Tribolium castaneum: one gene and its partners. The protein of the gene in region 1 binds, or shares a complex with, the protein of each later gene. Links are inferred from orthologs where the notes say so. Each region holds a gene or a part of one and is shown on either strand. Other genes may lie near its edges.

Region 1 (3,301 bases):
GGTAAGAAAAATAAACAGGACGCCGCAATTAATAAATTAATGCAAAACGAGCCGGTGAGTGTAGATATTGAGGTCCTCATTATACAGTTTTGAAGGTTTTAGCGAAATATCATCGTTTCACCGTACGGTTTTTATTTAACTGTTGTGTCACATAAAAATCTTATTAACATAATGCATTACCACACAATACTGTGATAACTCGGTGATTAGAAAAACAATTAACGGTGATTAGGAACCAATTGGATTCCTTACCAGTAAGGGCCTTAACTTCATCCATGAAAGTCACTACGAAAATCACAAAAACAGCACAAACATTTTTTAGTGATACCATCTTGGTATTCTCGCAACTTTTGCACAAATGAGAGATGAACTTTATATTTCTTGTACAATATATATTACAGTTATAATGGCAAGGTAGCAGCTTTCTCTTTCGCGCGCGCGTTTTTGGTACTTTTGAGACAGAGAAAGATACAATGAATGTGTCCAGTTGGGGGTTACCCGCTTGACTGTTACTATACCTTTCACTCAGAAGCCGCACCTCACTAAGAAGTAGCGTCTTCTCTGTCTCACTCGCCTCTTCACGTGTGGGATTGGAATAAAACCAGTTCAATTTTTTATTTGTTTATTTATTACACAATTTACAAAAACATTAATCGGAATCCGAATCTGAGTCATTCTTTTTCTTAGGATTATCCTCTCGATTCAGCCGCGCTATGAGTTTCCGCGCGGGGTTGAAAACGCCACTCGTTTGCGTGTTGCAGACGAAGCACCTCGTCGTCTTCTTGTACCTCTCGAGGGCGCACTTCTCGCAAAAGTAGTGTTTGCACCTAAAATTAACTGTAATAAAGACTCGTAAAAGGTGCCTCCTACTTTGTGACAATCGGGTCCACGAAGCTGTCCCTGCAAACGACGCATTTGAACGGCAAATCCTCTTCGTCCGAGTCAATCTCGTATTGTTTATCCTCGTCGCTTTCTTGCCCATATTTGCCTTCCGCCCATTCCCGCTCAAGCTGCCAGCCGTGTTTGTAGTCACTCCTGTCGTGCAAAAATTTACAACTGTCCCCGAAACCGCAAAAGCCTGTTTCTTTGTAGTCCTTGCAAATGTCGGGTTGGTAGTCCCACCGGACGGTGGCACGCAGGTTTGCGGGGGCTCTGATGGGGCCCTTCCTGACCATTCCCGAACTGGCGTTGCCCGCAGCCGTGTCTTTGGGCTTGTAGTACTGTGCGTAGTTGTTGATGCCTCTGTAGACTTTATCGTCTTCCTTGCCCTCAAGATTTTTATTAATTTCTAGCCGCTTCTCGAAAATGGCTTGGGCGTCACGATCGCGCTCAGTTTCAAACTCCTTTAATTAAATAATTATTGATTGGATAATACTAGTGAGTGGTTAAGTGGCTTACAAGAGTCGCCGTCGCTCCCTGATCTTGAGGTCCCTCAGGCATAGCGGACCGTTTGGACTTGTAACTAACCATAATTTCCTCCTCACTGCTTGAGTAGTTCTGCTGCTCATGTTCTTTTTGTTTGGCTTTGCTTGTGGTTTGGAAGTTGGGGTTTGCTTTTCCCCGACGCCGGTTCGCCCGCTTCACCGCAGATTCGTCCTCACTGTTGGACTTTTCTGAAGAAATCGCAAACAAACATAACCTTTAAAACACGAAAACTAAGTCTACAACAACAGTGAAGGTTAATTCACGGATTTGGGGTACCCACCTCCTTCCGAACTGGATTTCTGGCGCTTCCGCGCCCCTTTATTTTTTATATTCCGTTTTTTAAATATAAAAGTGCAACTTTCATCAAGTCCTGTTTTAACGTCACGCGGATCATCCATCTTTGACAAGTGTCAAGTGTCAGTGCTGACGCCAAACAAAATATCAAAAATTTCAAAACTCAATAACGCCTTTGTGGTGTTAGACTTGAGCCAAAGCAATTTAATCTAATTTGAATTTGTAATTACACGTTTTCCTAGTGCGTCATAATGGTAATAGCAAGTGCTTGAATGTTAATTGCTTTCGCGGTTCTGTTGGTAGTTATGGGTGACGGTTCCTGATTGGCTAAATTTGAAAGTGCGTTGACGTTTGGCATCCATCTGCATCGTAACGAATTTTCTACAAATCAATTAAAGTAGAATTAGGATAATTTATTAGTGAACGTGGTAAAAATGGCCCAAAATTTCAATCCGTTCGTGGAGCAAGTGCCCGAGAACGTAAAGCAGGCCGAAAGTTCCAAGAAGGTATCGAACGATAATCACGCAGTGACAAAAAGGTGGGCAAAAAGTGAGTCTAAATTGGGGTGCTAATCTTTGTTCGATTTGCAGATTGCACAAAGAGCTTATGACTTTGATGATGTCCGAAGACAAGAGCATCTCGGCGTTTCCCGAGGGCGACAACCTGTTCAAGTGGGTAGGTACCATAATGGGGCCCAAAGACACGGTTTATGAGAGTTTAAAATATAAACTAAGTTTACAATTCCCGAACTCGTACCCCTACGCGGCCCCCGTAGTAAAATTCATCACGCCTTGCTTTCACCCCAACGTCGACACCAGTGGGAACATCTGCTTAGATATTTTAAAAGAGAAGTGGTCGGCGCTTTATGACGTTAGAACAATTTTGTTATCAATTCAGGCCTTGTTAGGGGAACCAAACACGAGGAGTCCGCTGAACACGACGGCCGCCGACAAGTGGAAGAAAAAAGAAGAGTACAAAAAGCTGGTGTTAGAGTCGTACAAGGAAGTCTAAATTTGATCTCGCATTAGAAAAATTTCAGTTATTTAAGATGTCATTGTGTAATAATAGACTGCGTACATATTTGTGTTATATAATTTTTACTATTTCTCGTGTGTTATGATTGAATAAAACGATCAAGTTTCAATAATTTATTTACATAAATAAATATTTGGCTTAGCGAATAAAAATACGTTATCACGACTAGGATTTCACGATAATCAAGGTAAAAAATAAAATAATTGTGGTTACAGCCAATACAAGGATCGCGCACATCTTGCGGTTTTTCCGCTGATAAGCGTCTGCCTTTTGCAGCTGTTTGAAGCCTTCGTAGACCTGGATCTGCGTCTGTTCCACGTTGTAGTCAATTCTGTCCAGAACTGTCCCCTGGTCGGCGACCATCTGACTGAGATCTTTGAAAATTTCGTTCAAGTCAACAATGGACTTAACAATTGCGTTCACTTCTTGCTCCCGCTCTTGCGCGAACCGCGTGTTTTCCTCCTCCAGCAACAGCAGTTGTTGCTGGCTCATCTGCTTGGAATTAACGAAGTAGGTATCAATGTCATCCGCCTCCCTGTTGTACAAA
Region 2 (3,763 bases), about 8.0 Mb from region 1:
TTCTATTAACATCTTGCCACATGCCACCAGAATTATTAAAAAATAAATATTACGTTGTCGTAAATAAAACAAAAAGCCGTAAATACAAACAATTAAACACCGTAAAATATGTACAATAAAAAAATAAATTTCATTTCAAACATGCTACAAAACGATTTTAATTCTCTCCAAGAAATACTTTATATTGAACAAAATAGTGTTTGATGAGAATGAGTTTAATTATATGCATGTTAATTGGGCGATAAGACTGATAACTCGTCCGAAGACAATGCTATGAGAAAAGAGTTTAATTTTAAAACGCACAATAAAATAATTCTCTTGAAATAATGCCAACCTGTCAAGCCAAAGTCCGGAGAATAATTCCGCCGAAAAAATTCGCGCATTACCTTGTAAAACCGTAAAAATTTTCATTTGTATCGCACTTGTGCCACATACTTCCATTGCAAACACACTCACAAAAACGCTCTTTACAGTCCAAGTTCATTGCATGTTCTGACCCAATTATAACAATAACAAATTTTCGAAATTGTTTATATTATGTTAATTAAATTGATAACAATTTGAGCCGATTCTCTAAACATTTGGGCAAATAAATCAGCTATATTTACCTTCAACTAAAGTTCCAGACTCCAACATATCTCTCCGCGACCAAACAACAATAACATAATATTCACACGTTTAGGAAGTCCTCGCAGACAGGTGTATACTCATATTTATAATACCAACACTTATCTGTGAGAATTTTCTGTAAACTTTTATCATTGGATTTCTTTATCTTGCGTGAAACGCGCGCTGTGGCTCAATGGTGATTCTCCCCGCTTTTAGTCGAGAACTAATTCTAATTTTAGTTGGACACAAGTACTTGAATTTCGAGTTCACTTTTAAGCTAACACAGTTTGACAATATATTTAATTCAACAAGCGTTTAGTTCTAATCTGGAGAACGTTTGATTTAGATAAGTCTGCGATAGACAGACAATATTGATATCATAAGTATAACACAAAATAAACAACAATTAGTTACTGCCTAATCTGTTTTAGTTTTCACTTTCCGATTATTTTTCACTGTCACCATGTGGAAAACTAACGATAAAGGGGAAAGTTCAAGTCCAATTCCAGAAAATTTAAATTTGACCTCATTGTTTTTTTAATTCTTTATTGTCGCGCAATTCTTACTATTATACGTATTTATTCAAATCTTAAAATAAAAAGATAATAATAGCATCTGGCGCTCCTTCGTTTATTTCCTTATTTATCCTATTGAAAAAAAAATTGTTATGAAACAATTAAAACAGTGAAGTATTTGAAAAAAACTGAACTCAATTCATACACAAAACCATGACTTTGAATTTGTATTTTTTTTAAGAACAAAATTTGAAAAACCAAATTTTAAATTGTGACTAAGGTGGCGAAGCTTGGCACTTTAAACACAACCAAACTTCGTAGCTTAACCTCATTCTTTGACACTTGTCAAAATATAATAAACATTCTAAAGTTTTAAAAATGAGTAGTGTTTATATTTTGGAGCCCCCAACTTCGGGAAAGGTATTTAATCGTTCGTCTTACGAACACTACAATCAAATTTTTCGTCTCAGGTGTTGTTGAAAACAACAGTTGGTGACATAGACGTCGAATTGTGGGCAAAAGAAACGCCAAAAACCTGCCGCAACTTCATACAATTGTGCCTTGAGGGCTATTACGACAACACTATCTTCCACAGGGTTGTTAAGGGCTTTATAGCCCAAGGGGGTGACCCAAATGGTGACGGTACAGGCGGAGAGTCAATCTATGGAGAGCCCTTCAAAGATGAGTTTCACCAAAGACTCCGCTTTACGCGAAGAGGGTTGCTTGCGATGGCCAACGGGGGCAAGGACGACAACGGGTCTCAGTTTTTCTTCACCCTGGGGGCGACTCCCGAATTGCAAGACAAACACACGATTTTTGGGAAAATTACCGGAGACACGATTTTTAATATGCTCAAGCTTGAGGATGGGTTAATAAGGGACGAAAGGCCGATCTACCCTCACAAAATCATTAAAACGGAAGTTTTGAACAATCCATTTGCCGACATCCAACCCAGGCTTAGACAGGTTGAGGTGAAGGAGAAGAAAAAGAAAGAGAAAAAGCCAGGAGTCAAGTCAGTCAAATATTTTGTGTAATTTGTTGTAAAATCATTGTTGTAGGAATTTTAAGTTATTGTCGTTTGGGGAAGAGGCTGAGGAAGATGAGGAAGAGTCAACGAGGGTCAATGAAAAGTTTGTGGGCAAAGGCAAATCCACACACGATGTGTTAGGTACACAGTTCAAATAATTGGTGTGGAAATGTTTTAATTAAATTTAATTGAAGATGATCCCAAATTGAGCTCTAAAACGGAGGACGTAGATGAGGAGAATGATGACGTGGAAGAAGTTAATCCAGAAGAACAGTTAGAGAGCATCAGAAAGAAACTAAAAAGAGAACACAAAAAACCTGTACCAACTTCCACAACAACGGCGGAACCGATAGATACATATGAGTCATTCCTAGAGGAAGAGAGGCGCGAGAAAAAGAAAAAACAATTGTGAGTGACTATTAATTATTTTTCTATTTTCGATTAATTTATTTACAGTGAGGAGATCCAAAAAGAAATCCAGAACGTTAAAAAGGAATACCATAAAAATAAGTTGAAAAAGAAGGAAGAGGACATAATTGCAACCGAGAAGAAGGTCCAAGAAGACAAGACAATACAAGAGTACAAAGACGAGTTCGATAAATACAAAAATAAAAAAGACGCATTACCTAAAAAGGGAGCTGGGAGAGAACAGTTCACTTTGAATTTGTTGGAAAAGTTCAAAAAGAAGATACAGTCAATGAAAGACGGGGAAGAGAATGAAGAAGACAATGAGGAAGAACAAGCGTGGTTGAAGCACAGACTGTGCTTCCAGGACAAAAACCCAGTCTTGGCAAAAGACGCCAATAGAAAAGATGACGATTGGTTTGAAATTTACGATCCTAGAAACGCTTTGAATAAACGACGACGTGGAGAAACCGTGGAGAAGTTCAAGAAATAGTGTTGTTTGCTATATTAAAAATAAAGATTTGTAATTTTATGCGACCTTTTTTTTCCCGCCTTATCCTGGTGTAGCAAAGGCTCCAAAGAGCAAAAACTTCAAATAAACGTAAAGTTCGAGTTTTTTACCTACATTTTACCATTCTAGCACTCGCTTTAATAACAATCACATTAGTATTATTAATGACTCTACTATAGTTTGTGTTAAATTAATAAATTATTATTAATTAATTAAATTATTATTTTAGTTGTTACATATTATAAGACTCTATGCGCGTAGGATTATATGAGCAGATGCGCGCGTTTTCGGAATTGAGGTTACGTTTTTAATTTTGTGGGACCGGTGTTTGATGTTAAACTAGTATGAAAAATTAATGAAACTTTTGTGTACGTGAATAGACAATAGTGAGAAGCATGAGTGTGTGCACGTAAGTAAAAAACCATCAGTATTAAGAAAAACAGCTGATTATTTTTAGACCAAATCGTAACGTTTTAAACAACTCTTTTGCACTAGAACGGAGCCTTTCCGTGAATAAAACACGGCGAACTGTGCGTAAAAGCTTCATCTGGGGCTCCGTGAACCTCCTTATACTTGCAGTCCTTCTTTATGATATGTAACAAACTGCTCACTTAACCTTCTTTTTCCCATAACTGTGTTTTTAGAGCAAATTCATGTCCTTTGTACACTGATATTTACGACTATATCAAATATGCG
Region 3 (2,370 bases), on another chromosome or scaffold:
TTAACACTAATAGCAAGTGCTTGGAAAATTTTCGCGTATAAACGCCCGGAAAATCATTTCCAAATCAAACTCCTCTACATAGAACTACTCTACATTTCCCCAAAAATTACCTGAGCAAAAGTCCACTCTTATAAACACTTGCGTCAAAAATAGAAAATTGCCCAACACAAACAATATCATTGAATACAGCGCGTGTATCTCGACACAAGAGGCATTCAGCAAGCAGCCGTAAGCATCGGCTATTATCCTATTTAGTCCGAAGTGGCCCCTAACGAGATTTAAATATGTTCATCGTCGATGTCAAACATATGAACTTTATTCCATTCATCTGGTCAATTGATTAATTGAATTAAGGTAGGCACACGAAGACCGAACTCATGAAAAACGAAGCCTCAAATGCGGGACCTTAGACGGGCGGCGACAGGAAACGCCGCAAATGAGGAAGTCGAATTAAGAATTATTAAATCTGACAACGTGTGACAAGAAAACAGACTTTTTTTGGTGATTTTCATCCATGCGGTATAAAGCAGCCAGACCGAGGAGATTTCAAAAACATCACCTTCGGCGCAACTACTTAATACCGGGTGGACAAGAGGCTTTCTTCTGGTGCGTTTCTTCAAGTATTTAATTTATATAGCGGGACGGGGTGGTTTATCGGCTCCTCACTGCATTTTAATGATTATTCTATTATTATTTGCGTTGGCATTGCTTGTATACTTAAATAAACACGCTGCTGGAATAATTACTTGCACTGGTTATCTCTTATTGTTATACTTACTATAAATAAAGAGTGATTATTGTTTATCGTAATTATTTAATTTTCGATTCTGGGGCTAACAAATTGCTGGGAATTAAACTCCCTTCGTTGGAAAAATGCACTGCAATACTCGTATTTGCAATATTTATTACATTTTCTAGTTAAATTATAATAAACGGTGCATTCCCCTATCTGATTCATTAATAGCTTGTTGCTCTTATATTTAACGTCTTCATCTCAATGGATTATAAATTGGTTTATTTGCTCGATTTTGTAATTAGTTTTTAGATCGTGGTTTTTGAGTATGTTAAAACTCTTAATTAATTATTCAAAAGAGTAATCTTAATGTAACTTTAAATGTGAGAAGAATAATTGTTGATTTAATTCGAAGTTTGTTTTCTTCACTTTAAATGTTTGAATCTGCCGCCATAGTATTAAACCCAGTTTGCGCATGCGCATTGCAAAATTCCCCAAACGCATCCAAAACGCTCAAATTCCTAACCTAACTATTTTTGTGCCGGAAAAAGTGTTGTTTTAAGTGCAAAAACCGAGTCAGAATGGCTTTAACGAAACCCAAGTCTGAAATGACGGCCGAGGAGCTTCAGGCTCGCGAGGAGGAAGAGTTCAACACGGGCCCCCTTTCGGTGCTCACTCAGTCGGTGAAGAACAACACTCAGGTGCTGATAAACTGCCGAAACAACAAGAAATTGCTGGGGCGGGTGAAGGCGTTCGATCGGCACTGCAACATAGTGTTGGAGAATGTGAAGGAAATGTGGACAGAGCTGCCCCGGCCTGGAAAGGGGAAGAAGAAAGCCAAGCCGGTAAATAAGGATCGGTTCATTTCGAAAATGTTTCTGCGAGGCGATGCGGTTATTATAGTTGTAAGGAACCCCCTAGCTACGGCTAGTGGTTAATTAGGAATAAAATTTGTATCTTCAGTTTAGTGTTTATTGAGGAAATTCACTTACCTATCACTTCACTCGTGTGGTCCTTCTGTTCTGCGGTTGATTGATACCGCGAACGTGATACTGTGGAAATATCACATTCATGTCGTTGCAAATGAAAGATTGAACGGTTTTTTAACATTTATCTATAAAAATAATACAACAAAATGTGATAAAATTTCTCCTTTTTATTTAAACAAGATAATACAAAAGAATAATAAATATTTGTAACTTATGCAAGCTGCATGACCTAACCCCTTTCACATATGATGTCCACAACGCTTGGTTCCATTAAAATCGGTTCCAGGCACCTGTGGACTGCTGATCCCAAAATCTCATCCAGGAGGAAATGAACCAAGCTGGAAAATTCAATTAATTTCACTAAATTCAAATTCGTGACGTACTTTTCATCCGCAACAAATCGCCACAAATACAACTGCAAGTAATGCGTGTCCACTTGAATTTGTTGGAGGCCAAATTTACTAAAAGTCTTCAGACGTACGCACTCCATGAACGTCTAGAAATTATTTTTTGATTAAATGCTTCAACCCTCCACAAAATGATGCCTTAATAAACTAGCCTCTGCTGTAAATTATCGGAATGCCAACTAGATGTAGTTCAGTTTACAGAAAGCGCAAGTAAAATTTAATTCAGAATTAAACATTTATT
Region 4 (4,516 bases), on another chromosome or scaffold:
CGGTTCTGTCAAGTCACTCTCATCAAGGGTTGAACTACAATAAAACAGATAATAAGTGTTACCAATACGTAATTAAGGCACCTTTTCACGTTATCAGGATTGATATATTTCCCAACACCACTTTTATACACTTTTAGGGTTTTTTGAGCTTCCGCTTTACGTCTCTTCGCCTCTTCTTCCTCCTTCTGTCTTTTCAATTCCTCTTCGCGTTCTTTCGCCAACTAAAAATTGACCAAAAATAACACATTACAACAGAATAAGACAATCACTTGTTCGTCCGCCTCTTCAAATGGATTCACAAAAACTTGCGCCCTTATAAGCACAATATCCTCAATGGGCTTATCCTTATTGTCCACTTCAATTTTTTCCATTTCGTTTAAAGTCTCCATGCCACCAACTAAACGACCAAAAATCGTGTGCTTATTATTCAAGTGCTTGCACGACCTGTATGTTATGAAACTAAAAAAAAAAACAATTAAATTTTTGATTATTGCTCAGTGGCTGAGTTTGAAATTAAGTTGGCAAAACTGGACGTTGGCATTTCCCGTTATATCATGAAAAATACTTCAGTTTGTGTATTCATTAAATCATTAAAAGTTTGGAAAAAGTATGGGGAAAATTTACTCATTTTTTTTGTAAAAAATAAAGTTATGGCTACGGATATAAACAAGTTAGGATATGAAACGACATACAAATAAAACGTTCCTGTATTCGATAGTTCCGTTAATGTCGCCAGAGAGCGCAGATGTTCCATTACCGTCTAAATTTTCAGTGCAATGAATTTGAAAAAATGGTTGTGTTTGCATAACGGTTAACACATGACAAACAAAAAAATACAGGCAGATAGAGCATTAAATTCGCAATAGTAGGACATAAACGTAATGCAAAAATTTTATCTTAAACTATATTAAAATAAAAACTTTTACCAACTTGCACTCTGACTCATATTTTTGACAACTCTGCAAATACGGTTACAGATGCAAGAAAAATGTTAGAAAGATAATTGTAGACAATTAAATTTCCTACAAAAAAGTCCGCGGGACTATATCCCTATCTTCAACCATTTAGGCCCCAAAATCGCCCAAAGACGCTCAAGCGACGAATTTGCTTCATTTTGCCAGTGGTCAAGTATTGAAAAGTTAGTTTATAACCAAACCGTTTAAAATAGAAATATGGTGTCGTGGACTTTTTTGTAAAAAATTTAATTCTCTACAATTTTGTTCCTTACACTTTTTTTGTATCTTCAACCGTATTTGCAGCGTCTTGAAAAATACGAGACAAAGCGCAGATTTAAAAAAAAATCACAAACATTTTAGTCGTCAGTTTTTCTCAGACTTAAGGGTGCAAAGCTCAACATTGGTTGAATTTAAATTAATTTAAAACGATTTGGCGCCGAGACAGTATAACGCTCAAAGCGCCCTCATTTTTAGTCCACCGTACTATTTTTTAGGTTCAGAAAATCCTGCGATTTCATCTCCTAACTTATAGTCCTCCCTAGTTATGACATAAATGAGTTTTTTTGTCACTTTGACATTTCAAACGACAATTGACTATTAAAGTTAACATTTGACTGTTGCCATTGTTGCCAACTTAACTTCAAAGTCAAAGGCTGCGTAAAACATACAACTGTGACCCATTTGTGTTTTTCCCACTGTTGGCCATAGACAAGACCCCTCGCCCCACATGTTGCAAATTGGGCCTGAATTCATCAACGAATTTCTTCCCCCAAATGGATTCGCCCCCAGTCCCTGTCCCCGTCGGGTCGCCCCCTTGAACCTACATTTCGTTAGTTTTAGCCCCCATGATGGGTCCCTACCATAAAATTCCGAATAGATCTGTGAAATTTCGTCCCGTTGTAATAGCCACTCGCACAATGCCTGATAAAATTCTCCGAAGCACGTGGCACTTCGTCGCAGTAAATCTCCAAGTTGAGGGGCCCCAAGTTCGTGATTAACCTCACATAGCCTTTTTTCTTGACTCTGTCGTATCGCACCTCATCTTCGTGCTTCACTGCGGCTTCGTGCACCAATCGGGGGACCATCGCTGTTGAGGTGAAACTCGCAGCCACAGCCCCCGTTGAATAATGGGCAGCGTTGAACTTGTCCGCCTTTTCCTTAACTTCGACTTTGTTTATTTCAATTGTTGGCTCTTTGTAGTCCCGTTTTAGCTCCTCAAGGGTGTATTTTGTTTCAGGGTTCACGTTTTTCAAGTGGCCTTGAGGGTCGTTCTTCTCCTTGATTTCCTCCTCGGTTTCGATTCGTAAATTGTTTTTGACGTGGTGGAAGTTGGAAATGTTGAACTTATTTAAGTCTAGTGGGTCCTGTAACATGATGATATCCTTGCGTTCGAAGGGCGTATCACTGATTAAGTCCTTCCAGTTTTTGTTCTTAATATTAAGCTGTTCCACTGCTTCCATCAAGTACACGTTTCCAGTGGTGGCAATCGCCACAATGTGGGAGCTTTTGGTGAATTGTTTGTAAAGGACGGGGCACTCAAACTCGCCTTCTTCATTTTTGTGGAAATTCAACTGCACCAACGACTTGAAATCCAGAGGCTTTCCCGTGACTGGGTTTATCTTGAACTTCTTCAAAAAGGGGAGCAAAGGCTCCAAATCAAAAATATTGCCGTCCAAGTCACAGTAGGGTATTTCCCACGGTTGCAACGACAGGCAGCAGTGGTCAAACGGGAGCCGCTTAAAATAGTCCTCCTCCGCGGTCGTATAACCCGATTTTTTGCCCCCGTAAAGAGTGGTCCACTCTGTGTACGTCAAGTACCTTAAACAAAATTGCGTTAATTACGCACTTGAAACTGATTTTGGACAGGTCTACATTTTGTCTTTCTGGTGCTGGCGCTTCCCCATTTTGCTGTAACTTGTAAAGAGGTAAAATTAAAAAATATAAATCACACGACTTTGAGGTTAGCTCGCTGTCACAACAACAGGTAGACAACACGCGCACTCTTCATGCCCCTAGATGGGTGCAAAGGATTTTGAATTTTTTAAAAAATAATCCGCAATTTTTTGGTAATTTTCGGCGAGGTGTTGGCGACCGACGCCCTGGGGGTGTGGCACAGGGCGGTTTTGTTGCAAATAATCGAAATTCAGGTTTTTGGGCTGTGCAGTTTTTGCATATTTCCGGTAGTATGGTGGCAGGCCTGAGTGCTCAGCGAGTACGCCATGAGCCGATATTAGCAAAAAGGGAGTGAATTGTTTTCAGTTTTTAGTGCAAAAATTAATACAAGTAAGTGTAATTGCTGCTGAAATTTCCCGTTCAATGCCAGTTTCACGTTCCTGAAACTCGATTAGGGCCGTTTATGCGCGTATTAGCCGAGTAGGCGCTGAAAAAAATCGTCAACTTGTGCCGTAAATATCGCCCAATAAAAGCGATATCGTATCGAAATTACAGTAATTTCGGGTTCGGCGTTGTGTTTTAATCGATAATTATTGAATTCCGTCCCGTTTTTCCCAATTTAATGGAAATTTACGGCTTGTGTAATGCTTGAAATCAAAATGGCCGACTTAGCTGACAGGAATCAATTTTGGTTTTGAGAAGGGTCGCAATAATCGGTTACCTGTCCCGGCGATCGCAATCAGACATTGAACCCCATTGTTGCTTGAGGTGACTCTCTCGCACGGTCGCCCGTCAGCCCCCGGCGAGCGCCGGGAGGAACAAAGAGGTGATTTTTTGTTTTGTTTAGCTCGATGTCTTCAGCTGGGTCTAGCGGATCAGGCCGTGGTCGAGGCGGTCAAGCAGCAGTCGGTGATCAAAAGGAAACAAAAGAATCAAAGCCTAACCAGAAAATGTCAAAGGCCTTGGGCACATCAGCGAAAAGAATCCAAAAAGAACTAGCAGAAATCACGTTAGACCCGCCGCCGAACTGCAGTGCGGGCCCCAAAGGGGAGAACTTCTACGAGTGGGTGTCCACGATCCTGGGCCCCCCGGGGTCCGTCTACGAGGGCGGCGTCTTCTTCCTGGACATCCACTTCTCGCCAGAGTACCCCTTCAAGCCACCTAAAGTCACGTTCAGGACGAGGATCTACCACTGCAATATCAACAGTCAGGGCGTCATCTGTTTGGATATTTTGAAAGACAACTGGTCGCCCGCCCTCACCATCTCCAAGGTCCTCTTATCTATCTGCTCCCTACTCACCGACTGCAACCCAGGTGGGTCAATTTCTCTTAATCGTAATCGCAACAAGTAAAACAATGAATCGCATTTATTTTTAAAATTCTTGTTGGATTAAAAACGTGCCAAATAGTTCGTAGACCCGCAGCGAGCAGACAAATATTAGACCGGCGTAGTCACCGGCATGTTTTGAATATTTTTAAAGGCACGCGATGAATGTAAATTATGCTAATTTCCTGTGAAAGATTTTGATGAAAGTTGGAGAAATTTTTGCCAAATAAATTGCATCCTTGAACTCAAAAAGTTGCTGATTTAACATATCAATCAATGTGAAATACAGTTACGTCGATTAATGAAGCGGATCGAGGTTAATCGTTGTCTTTTTGTTGCC

What was found. The genes of interacting proteins can lie anywhere in the genome.
Region 2: mdlc (region 1) and spliceosome-associated protein CWC27 homolog share a complex: the UniProt entries of both Homo sapiens proteins name them as parts of the minor spliceosome. The link is inferred for Tribolium castaneum from reciprocal best matches to the Homo sapiens genes RNF113A and CWC27.
Region 3: mdlc (region 1) and SmD2 share a complex: the UniProt entries of both Homo sapiens proteins name them as parts of the minor spliceosome. The link is inferred for Tribolium castaneum from reciprocal best matches to the Homo sapiens genes RNF113A and SNRPD2.
Region 4: mdlc (region 1) and RING-type E3 ubiquitin-protein ligase PPIL2 share a complex: the UniProt entries of both Homo sapiens proteins name them as parts of the minor spliceosome. The link is inferred for Tribolium castaneum from reciprocal best matches to the Homo sapiens genes RNF113A and PPIL2.

The regions. Positions count from the first base shown.
Region 1 is NC_087396.1:11,857,636-11,860,936, reverse strand, and holds mdlc (E3 ubiquitin-protein ligase RNF113A), read right to left. Parts: upstream 1,846-3,301; 5' UTR 1,824-1,845; coding exon 1,706-1,823; intron 1,614-1,705; coding exon 1,399-1,613; intron 1,344-1,398; coding exon 871-1,343; intron 828-870; coding exon 650-827; 3' UTR 606-649; downstream 1-605. Other genes in the region: probable chitinase 2, read right to left, coding at 253-331; vih (ubiquitin-conjugating enzyme E2 C), read left to right, coding at 2,154-2,257, 2,310-2,730; Syx16 (syntaxin-16), read right to left, coding at 2,920-3,301. UniProt on the Homo sapiens protein: Required for pre-mRNA splicing as component of the spliceosome. As a component of the minor spliceosome, involved in the splicing of U12-type introns in pre-mRNAs. E3 ubiquitin-protein ligase that catalyzes the transfer of ubiquitin onto target proteins.
Region 2 is NC_087396.1:19,898,721-19,902,483, reverse strand, and holds spliceosome-associated protein CWC27 homolog, read left to right. Parts: upstream 1-1,398; 5' UTR 1,399-1,502; coding exon 1,503-1,544; intron 1,545-1,594; coding exon 1,595-2,136; intron 2,137-2,182; coding exon 2,183-2,292; intron 2,293-2,345; coding exon 2,346-2,559; intron 2,560-2,607; coding exon 2,608-3,049; 3' UTR 3,050-3,088; downstream 3,089-3,763. Other genes in the region: uncharacterized protein LOC658443, read right to left, coding at 387-441; transmembrane protein 209, read left to right, coding at 3,463-3,476, 3,525-3,662, 3,712-3,763. UniProt on the Homo sapiens protein: As part of the spliceosome, plays a role in pre-mRNA splicing. Probable inactive PPIase with no peptidyl-prolyl cis-trans isomerase activity. As a component of the minor spliceosome, involved in the splicing of U12-type introns in pre-mRNAs.
Region 3 is NC_087395.1:17,190,662-17,193,031, reverse strand, and holds SmD2 (probable small nuclear ribonucleoprotein Sm D2), read left to right. Parts: upstream 1-1,214; 5' UTR 1,215-1,314; coding exon 1,315-1,671; 3' UTR 1,672-1,695; downstream 1,696-2,370. Other genes in the region: serine-rich adhesin for platelets, read left to right, coding at 359-454; Vps51 (vacuolar protein sorting-associated protein 51 homolog), read right to left, coding at 1,952-2,060, 2,106-2,218. UniProt on the Homo sapiens protein: Plays a role in pre-mRNA splicing as a core component of the spliceosomal U1, U2, U4 and U5 small nuclear ribonucleoproteins (snRNPs), the building blocks of the spliceosome.
Region 4 is NC_087395.1:15,994,639-15,999,154, reverse strand, and holds the start of RING-type E3 ubiquitin-protein ligase PPIL2, read right to left. Parts: upstream 2,976-4,516; 5' UTR 2,861-2,975; coding exon 2,829-2,860; intron 2,775-2,828; coding exon 1,817-2,774; intron 1,777-1,816; coding exon 1,625-1,776; intron 460-1,624; coding exon 270-459; intron 222-269; coding exon 82-221; intron 35-81; coding exon 1-34. Other genes in the region: Ubc2 (ubiquitin-conjugating enzyme E2-24 kDa), read left to right, coding at 3,701-4,163. UniProt on the Homo sapiens protein: Has a ubiquitin-protein ligase activity acting as an E3 ubiquitin protein ligase or as an ubiquitin-ubiquitin ligase promoting elongation of ubiquitin chains on substrates.